Linked DNA regions of Nothobranchius furzeri. The main gene of each other region encodes a partner of the protein of the gene in region 2 in a complex. Links are inferred from orthologs where the notes say so. Each region holds a gene or a part of one and is shown on either strand. Other genes may lie near its edges.

Evidence for each region.
Region 1: the proteins of cct3 (region 2) and pdcl3 are in contact, whole or in part, in a cryo-EM structure (PDB 8I6J), measured with the Homo sapiens proteins. The link is inferred for Nothobranchius furzeri from reciprocal best matches to the Homo sapiens genes CCT3 and PDCL3. Residues at the interface, in NP_005989.3 of Homo sapiens: Met47, Pro53, Met54, Val58, Met59, Thr60, Asn61, Asp62, Ala65, Arg68, Glu69, Arg167, Ile258, Glu261, Phe264, Leu268, Gln269, Glu271, Ser297, Asp298, Leu299, His302, Ser380, Glu382, Ile383, Arg389; in NP_076970.1 of Homo sapiens: Glu66, Ala70, Met73, Tyr74, Arg75, Arg77, Arg78, Trp82, Leu182, Pro212, Lys213, Ile216, Glu217, Asp218, Val219, Arg226, Leu229, Met230.

The regions. Positions count from the first base shown.
Region 1 is NC_091754.1:32,212,161-32,216,654, forward strand, and holds the start of pdcl3 (phosducin-like protein 3), read left to right. Parts: upstream 1-1,694; 5' UTR 1,695-1,808; coding exon 1,809-1,814; intron 1,815-2,475; coding exon 2,476-2,596; intron 2,597-2,778; coding exon 2,779-2,869; intron 2,870-3,830; coding exon 3,831-3,974; intron 3,975-4,111; coding exon 4,112-4,320; intron 4,321-4,494. UniProt on the Homo sapiens protein: Acts as a chaperone for the angiogenic VEGF receptor KDR/VEGFR2, increasing its abundance by inhibiting its ubiquitination and degradation.
Region 2 is NC_091759.1:9,430,801-9,435,415, forward strand, and holds the start of cct3 (T-complex protein 1 subunit gamma), read right to left. Parts: upstream 2,892-4,615; 5' UTR 2,789-2,891; coding exon 2,761-2,788; intron 1,496-2,760; coding exon 1,434-1,495; intron 1,152-1,433; coding exon 1,101-1,151; intron 1,007-1,100; coding exon 944-1,006; intron 859-943; coding exon 762-858; intron 659-761; coding exon 541-658; intron 375-540; coding exon 188-374; intron 76-187; coding exon 1-75. Other genes in the region: pdia8 (protein disulfide-isomerase A3), read right to left, coding at 3,756-3,845, 3,931-3,988, 4,072-4,151, 4,258-4,386, 4,475-4,583. UniProt on the Homo sapiens protein: Component of the chaperonin-containing T-complex (TRiC), a molecular chaperone complex that assists the folding of actin, tubulin and other proteins upon ATP hydrolysis.

The DNA.
Region 1 (4,494 bases), on a different chromosome or scaffold from region 2:
GCTCAGACACATTTACCAGGTCATAAATAAACAAGTTGAACAGTTTAGGTCCAAGGACCGACCCTTGTGGTACTCCACAACTAATATCTCGCAGTTCTGGTTTATTGTTATTTATCTGAACATATTGTTCTCTGTTTTCTAAATAGCGTTTAACCCATTGATTATTAGTGGTTTGGGTTGGTTCTCATGATGGTTTTAAACAAACCCATAATTAGATTTATTTTCACCAGATACAATACAGAGATTAGGTCAATGGTATGAATGCAATTTAATAACAAATAGCGAGCTGCCATCAAGGGATTAAGCATGCATTTCTTTTTTTATATATATTAATTTTATTTCTGAAGACAAAACAAAAGATGAATAATTAACAGACCAATGGTTAATGTTAAAAGAATGATAAAAGTTTTTCTCAGAGAAAACTGTAAATTTGAACTTCACATCGCGTGAAAGAAACGTGATGGCTTTTAAAAACAATGTCAGAGTGAGACCTCCCTATTTTTATTTTCTCTCTTCACCAACTTTCCCTTCCACGAGTTCCGGTAAAAATTTTCTTGCCCTTTCCTCATTGGATGCGGTGGTGGTTATAAATAGCACACAAAAAGAAACCAAATTAATTCATTTATAATAAATAACCTACCATTGTGTATGTGATTAGATTAAAACTGAGACCTTAAACAGATTATATTCAGAGAATTATAATTTGTTTAAATGATTTTGCTTTTTGCTAGAAACATTTTTACACAAATTAATTTAGTGTAATTTAGGAAAAACTCGAATGTGAATCAATAAAACATTAAGGCTCGTTGAATTAGAGTACTTTTGAAAAGGGCGTCATTTTTTAATCTGTGTGCGCGCGCACGTGTTTGTGTAAACCCTAAATAATACTTCTGTAATTAAATGAGCTGTTTTTATTTCTAATTAAGATTGGTTTTTGCATTACAAGCATTAGAAACTGATTTAGCCAACATGTAGTAAAAACTTAAATCAGCCACACGAGGGCGACATTTATCCAACAGAAGGTTAACGTTCTTCACTAATCTGGTGTTCTAGGAAATATCAAGGTTTACCTGATCAAGTTTGGTCTAACCTGTTTTCTCCGCTGAATTGTTGTTATGATTTATTTAACAACTAATAGAAACAACTCAAATGTCGTGTGGTTAATTAATAAATGAGCAACTTGAAGAAAAAACTCGATAAATGACAGAGAACCCGTTCATTTTGGAGCTGTAATATTGGTTTCGTAAATAGTGAAAACAACGAGCACTAATTAAATCCACTTGTTTTTGCACTTTGGGAATGTAGTACACTGTTATTATCAGCAAACATTTTCCATTAGCAAATATTGTCGATGTGTTTTATTTTACCCAGTGAAATGTTATTTTTTTAATTCAGTAAAACGGAGAGAGGCAGGTTCGGGTCCGGTACCGGCCTTCCTGAATAGCACCTGTCTGGTTCCGTTCCCAGCTGCTACAAATGGATTGCTTCTCTCTCTTTCCTTATGTGGTCATATCGCACCTCGCAGGAAGTTGGTGTTACTTGTATTATTGTCTTTCCACACAATTAAATATTCCTCTTTTATTTTTTGTTTCGAAATCGCTGATTACTTTACAGTATTTTAAATAAAAATATTTCTATTCGCTTCACAATACTATTCAATTTAAATGACAGCATTTCCGGGCTAAGTAGATTAAAATAAAATCTACAGTTTCTTGTTTCTGCCGGATCTGCCCACGCGGACTTCCTTCTGTTTCCGGTTTGGAAAGGAGCAGTGGTGTGGTTTAGAAGGGACTCTTTCATTTGTCAAAATGCAGGTTTGTTTGGTTTTGTTTGGATTTTAAACAGCTTTCGTTAGCGAAAGTGGCGGTTCAACGGTGGTGAAAATTATGTGTACATGTTTTTATCGTTGAACAAAGTAGCAATGGGCGTGTCGTTGTCGTGTTAACAGTTTAATCAGATCCCTGAGCAGGAGAATAATATCAAGTAAAACCGAAGAGATGTGAAAAGTTTTGTTTAATCCGTCCTTTACTTTTGGACAAAAACCCCCACAGATCGTGGGTTTAAATTGTCTTTTTTGAATATTCAAACTAAAGTTCGCTTTAAATGTTCACTGACTTATATAAATGTCCGTGAGTCTGAACACAGATTTTGGTTAAACCATTTGGACTTTTCTTCTTTTCCTGAAACATGTCAATTAAAGTAGAAGTGCCACGTGCCTAACTGTTGATTATTGGCCCTCACTTTCATTATCCTCATTGTTTTCGTTGCAGATGAAATAAAAGTGTTTAATTACATAAAATGAAGCACGTTTTATTAAAGGCTACTGATGGCCAATAGCTATAATGTATTTTCAGTAATTAAATCATCTGATTTGTTTTTTAAGCTTATAGTTGTTAGACAGACACAAACAGAAGTTATAATTAATTCTATTACATTTGTCGTTGTGTGAATGATTAATTATGTTTTCATCAAAAGAACCCAAATGAAGACACGGAGTGGAACGATATCCTGAGGAAGAAAGGCATCCTCCCCCCCAAAGAAGTTCCTAAAGAGGATGAAGAGGAGGAGGAGCTGGCCCTCCAGCAACAATCTGTCGGTATGAAGGCTTCAACATGACTGTTTAAGGGTTTCACCCACATTGATTTTAAATGTATTTTCATATTTTAACATACTTTTTTACATTAGTCATATTATTTTATGTTTGTGCTTATCTCAATCCCATAAAATCAGAAATTGTAAGATTATTTGTGGATTAGAGGCCGTCTGCTGTTTGTGCAGTTAAAACATATGAGAGTATGACTCTGGATGAGCTGGAGGAGAACGAAGACGAGTTTGGAGAGGAGGATGAAGCTGCCATTGAGATGTACAGGTAAGTGGTTCAACAGGAGAACTGGGCGATCAAAACTCAATAACTATCTGTCGGGTTTTTGGTGCCTGATGCACTTTATTGTACATTTGACAAAACAAAACCCTGGTGAAATTTAGGGATGCACAATATATCGGTATCAGCCGATGTTAGTCATTTTTGAACATATCGGTATTGGTCCAATAAGTAAAACGGGGCTGACATTAAAAACCCAAATTTTTTCCATCTTGTTTCCGTTTGTGTATCTGTTTGAGAGGGTGAGGATGTGTTTAGTTTAGTCCTGTGACTGTGTGTGTGTGTGTGTGTGTGTGTGTGTGAATAACATCTTGCAAATTCCATTTTATAGAAAAATAGCAAAATATTCACAAATTCGGCTTACATAATGTCAGTCTATACAAAATTTGCTGATTTCAGAAGCATAAATCGGTATCAGACATAACAGTTATGTAAAAATCAATATCGGCCCAAAAACGTCATGTCGGTGCATCCCTAGTAAATGGCCTGTATCTGATATGGTGCCTTCTAGAGTTCTGGAACCCCACAATCAGTCATTCACCCATTCACACACACATTCACACACTGGTGGGGATGAGCTACGATGTAGCCACAGCTGCCCTGGGGCACACTGACAGAGGTGAGGCTGCCGAGCACAGGCGCCACCGGTCCCTCCGACCACCACCAGCAGGCAACGTGGGTTAAGTATCTTGCCCAAGGACACAGCGACAGCGACAGACTGAGCGGGGCTCAAACCTGCAACCTTCCGATTACGGGGCGAGCACTTAACTCCTGAGCCACCGTCATCCACCAGTAAAAATAAAATCTCTTTCCCATATGGTTGGTTTTTACTCGATTACATCTAGGAAATCAAGTCAACGCTTTAATTCTGAATCTTATAATTTCTTCTATTCCTGATGCATTTCTCTCTCCGTGGCTGTGTGCTGATGCAAGCTGCATCTCCTTCCAGACAGAAGCGTCTTGCGGAGTGGAAAGCGGCTCAGATAAAGAACGCTTTTGGAGAACTGGGGGAAATCTCTGGACAGGACTACGTCAAGGAGGTCAACAAGGCTGGAGAGGGAATATGGGTGGTGCTGCACCTCTACAAGCAGGGGTGAGTTAAGACCAAAGCTAGACCTGGATGTTTTACATAAACATCTGGAAAGCTTTATGTATAGAAAACATGCTGCTGAATCTGAATCAGTGTGGTGATTTCAGCACTAACCGATCCGCCTGGTCTCTCTGTCCCAGCATCCCTCTGTGCACCCTCATCAACCAACACCTGAACACGCTGGCCAGGAAGTTTCCTCAGACCAAGTTTCTTAAGTCCATCTCCACCACCTGCATCCCCAACTACCCCGACCGGAACCTGCCCACCATCTTTGTTTACTTTGAGGGGGAGATGAAGGCCCAGTTCATCGGTCCTCTGGTGTTTGGGGGCATGAACCTCAAAGTCGAAGGTAGGTCTGATTTATTAAACCAGACCAGACTCACCAAGTTACTGTTTAGGCTCGTCCCTGTAATAAGAAACCTGAGATGATTTCAACGTTTAAACATCGTGTCTGACTACCACCGTTCTGACGAGCTGTTGATCGTTTTTGTTTATCTGCTTGTTCTCCAGCTTAAGTGTTTCT
Region 2 (4,615 bases):
TCTTGGGTGAGTCACATCTTTGTTCACCATCACTCCTTTCAGCACACAGGAATCCTCGATGATTCCACCTGGAACCTGAACACAACACGGGAGATGTGAGACAAAAGAATGAATGCAATTAATGCAGGAAACACTTGATCTTCTGTTCTAACCTAAAGTGATCAGGTGTAATGAGCAACAGTCGTACCTTCTCTACTTTGGCGTACTTCTTGATGTCAATCTCTTTGCGCCCGTTCTCTTCCAGCTCCACCGTACGAACGGCGTCCAGCGCGATGTTGCAGGCCAGCTCCGACCAGCGGCTCAGAGCTTTGGTGTTGATGGCAGAGTGAACAATCTTCAGCATCATGGAGCGGTCTGAAGTGTCCACGGGGATGCTGGAGGAGGACAACAATATTCAGTCAAACTTCCTGTACAAGTTTCACAAAATTAACTCATTCATAAATGTGTAATGTTATTTCTAAGCTGCTGTTTGGTTGGCTTACAACAAATCAAAAATAATTATAATGTAACAAGGAGGCGATGGAAACTGTCAGACTCTACCTGATTTCCTTCAGTGTGTCCAACATGTCCTCCAGAGCCTGTCTGTAAGCACTGATGATCACTGTTGGATGCATCTGCTGCTCCAGAAACTGTTCAGCTACAGCCAACATCTCTCCAGCTGAAATTTGAGACATTAAATGACGGATGTTAAATAAAACAAACTGAATTCCCTCTAAAGGGGAAGTCTGAGCTTCTTTAGATTAAAAATAAAGCTTTTATACCCAGTATGATGACTGATGTGGTCCCATCTCCCACCTCTTCATCCTGTGTGCGACTGATCTCGATCATCGACTTGGCTGCGGGATGCTGTACCTGAATCTGTTGCCATGGAGAAGCAGGATGTTATGAAACACTGAAGGAATTGATGAAGTGACAAACTTCCAAGTGTTTATGTGACCCTGACCTCTCGGAGGATGGCATTTCCATCGTTTGTCATTACGATTCCTCCTGTAGGGTCAAGCAACATCTAGACAAAATGACATGAAAACATGGAATATTACGGACTTATTTTATTTTTGTAAATGACTGGGTGCGGTGATTCTCTGTATAGACAAACTCACCTTCATCATGGCCCGTGGGCCGAGGCAGGTCCTGATCACATCGGCTATGGTCTAAAATAGATTGCACAAGAACAATATATGTAAGGGCTGGGGGAATAAAACAATTTTAAAACAAATGAAGCATTTTTCTCTTCAGAGACTGATCTCAGTCTATTAAGAGGAATTTCTACTCTAGTCTGGCCTTTTCTTTCCCAGCTACTCAACGTCTCCATATTAAAAACAAAAAAACAGCCTAGATTGGCTAATCTCAAACATTAAACAGTTTTCTTCCGCACTCAAAAGACAGATGAGACTGTCTAACACAAGCTTTAACGTTTTACAGCAACAACTGACCTTTGCTGCATTGATGTTTCCAGTTTGGACTTTACGTCCTGATTCTCTCTTCACATTCTGGTCTAAAAAGAGACAAGAAAACAGAGAAATCACTACAGAGTCACCTAATTGAAGGGTGTTTTTGCTTCAAAACACAGATAGCCATTATTTCGAGTGACCCAATTAAATGACTAGCAATTCGAAATTGTTGGTTTTAAAGAAGTAATTTATCAGTATGGTTAGCAATCCCATGCCTGCCAGATCGATAACAAACCAACACATTACATTAAAAAAAATCAATAAAAACAGCTGTGTATAAATATGTGACAGATCATTTTTGACAAATGTCCAACACTGTTAAAATGCTTCAAAATTAATGAATATGATTTACCAGTCACGTAGGCCAAAGTGCATCTATGACTAGAATCCTTTGTAGTAAATTATTCTCCTTACTAACTGAGTTGTTGCATCTTTATTTAAAATCAATTTTGTTGGATTGTATCATTAAACTAGTAATATCTATACAGCTAAATAAAACATTTTCTTATTGCATTCCAAATAAAATGAGTGTTTCGAATATTTAAATAATTTTTTTGTTGTCGTAATTTTTTTATTATGTTATACTCTTCTTTTTAGCTCCTATAATGAATTTAATTGCTGCTGTGACACCAAAATCCCCCCACTGAGGGAGCTATCTATTCTAGTCTAAAATAATTGTAAAGACAAAATGGACGGAATATACCAGTACAGATAGAGCTTTCGTGATTTCAGACACTATGAATGAATGAATTTTGATTTTTGCAGGATAACAATGCTGTCAATTCGCAATTACAGGCTATCAAATAGATCAATCGAAATCGGAATGTATTAAAGCGGATGCTTATTTTGTTGTTCAGTTCAGTCACAGCGCACACACAAAACTAATTCAAAATCGTGTTTAATAGCTGCATCAAAGGTAATTTCATGTCTTTTTTAATTATTATATAATGTTCGCAGTTGTCTAACTGCACGCTCATGATGAGTAAGAGGACTGTTAGCTTAAGCTAGCCTAGCCTAGCATACCTACACGCTTTCCGCTACTTCCGAACACGAGCTAAATATGCTAATGATGCCGGTTGGGTGTGGATGCTATCAGTAGCATGTAGGCTAACAATGCTAATACCGGTGGAAGAAGCTGATGCTCGGCTGAGTTATAACAGTTGGTTAGCGCATCCTTAGCTGCTTTGTGTCCCAGCCGATCTGCCCCGCGTTCAAACGGTCACAAAATTGACTAAATTGCAGAAACTGGCGGGAAGTAACCGACATCTAACTATTGAAAGTATAGTTAAGAACAAATTTCGATACTTACTAAGCACTAAAACCTGCTGGCCGAGCATTTTGAGACCACGACGCTAACAGCACTAGCCTCGAAGGTTCTGGGTGGCACGAGGAGAGGGACGGCTCAGACAAAATGGGCAAGACATTACTTGAGGTCCGGCCAATTAGCAAAGACTATTATTTTTGATTGACATGCGCATTCACCAATAGAGTGAATGAGGTAAACTCTTCTAGTAATAGGCCTTTTATGGAGAAAACCTAATAGAAATAGAACCCACAACGATTTAGCAAAAAAAAAAAAAAATTTTTTTTACGAAGATTGAAAATGACTTTTATGTGTTTTAACACTCGTGGAACTTGCAAAGTTTGTTCAGTTGATCCCAGCTATTATTATTAAGCTTTATTACAACACACAGGCATGGAAATAATGGTTGAGCAAACTCAGGCACACTGAAGTATAATTTAAAAATTAAATTTCTTTTTAAATCCCATCATAAAAACAACGGCTGAAAACAATTTTACAAAAGCTATTAAGGCGTATTAATTCATGAGAATTTAATTAACAGTCAGTTGTCAAGCATGGTTTTATTACATAATCTCAGCAGAGCTTCTCAACATAACAAAGCTCACAAAATAACCAAAGACTGCCAAAGTATAAGTAATTAAGTCAATAAATAAATAAATAAATAAAAACTAAACACAGCACCAAATACAAACTGCACAGATGGTATTATATCAAAATGCATTTAGTTTTCTGGAATAAAAAAACAAAGAATTGCACATGAAATGGCTTTATAAATGAATAAATATATAAATAGTTCTATTCAGCAAGGACATGGTTTTAGAGGGGAGTATGGAAAGAATCTGATTGGTAGAAACAAAAATGGGTGGACCATGTCCTGATTCGTTGTTTCTGGTGTGTCACCAGGAGCAGAGCTCTTGCTGCCCATTCATGTCTGTGTAGCTGTTACAAGACTTGATCTTTTTGTTAATCAAAGTCAGTTCTGATCAGTAGGTGAATCTTTGTCACAGTTCGTCCTTAAACCCAGTCAGCACCAGACCATGACTCGCCTCACTCTTCAGGAACTTTAGGAAGTCTTTGAGCTCTCGAGTGCCCTGAAATCAAGATGTCCCACAACCATTAGACATCATGTGTCTCAAAGATTGATGAACTCAAGCTGAAACTATTAAAACTTGGTACCTGGTATCGAATGGGCTCATCCTTTTTACCCACTGGAGCAAAATAGATGGTTGGAAACCTGGAGAGAAGAATAAAATCATAGGAAATAAAGACTCATGAATTTTCTTCTTTAAAAGTGCTCATCAACATCGTCATCCTCACCCTTGGACATCGTATCCCAGTGGGATGTCATTATAGACGGCGTTCATCTTGGCAATGACAATGTTTGGGTCAGAATGCAACTGAGAACACATAAAGAGCATTTTCAGATTACTATCAGAGCAACACGACCTAATTCTAGAGTTTAGTGCACTGAAACTTAATCAAAAATACAATAAAGCTGTGTACCGTGTCAGCCAGCTCTCTGTAGACCGGCTCCAGCTTCTTGCAGTGTGGACATAGCGGGGAAAAAAACTGAATCAGAACATCTTTAGCAGGATCGTTCACGATTTCATCAAATGATTCTGCGACAACCACCTGCGGTGTTGAAGACAAAAGGAGGTCAGCACAAATTTTTTACAATCAGTATTTACAATCAGTCACGCTCACAAGCAGCTCAGCTCACCTTAACAGGAGCCGTGTTTTTCTCAGGTAAAGGTTCTGATTTTATGTAACGTTTGAGACGACCGGCAAAATAATCTTCAAGGAACCTCCCCAGTGACTGACCATCCCTCCTGAAACACACCAGTCAACTTTTAGTATCCTG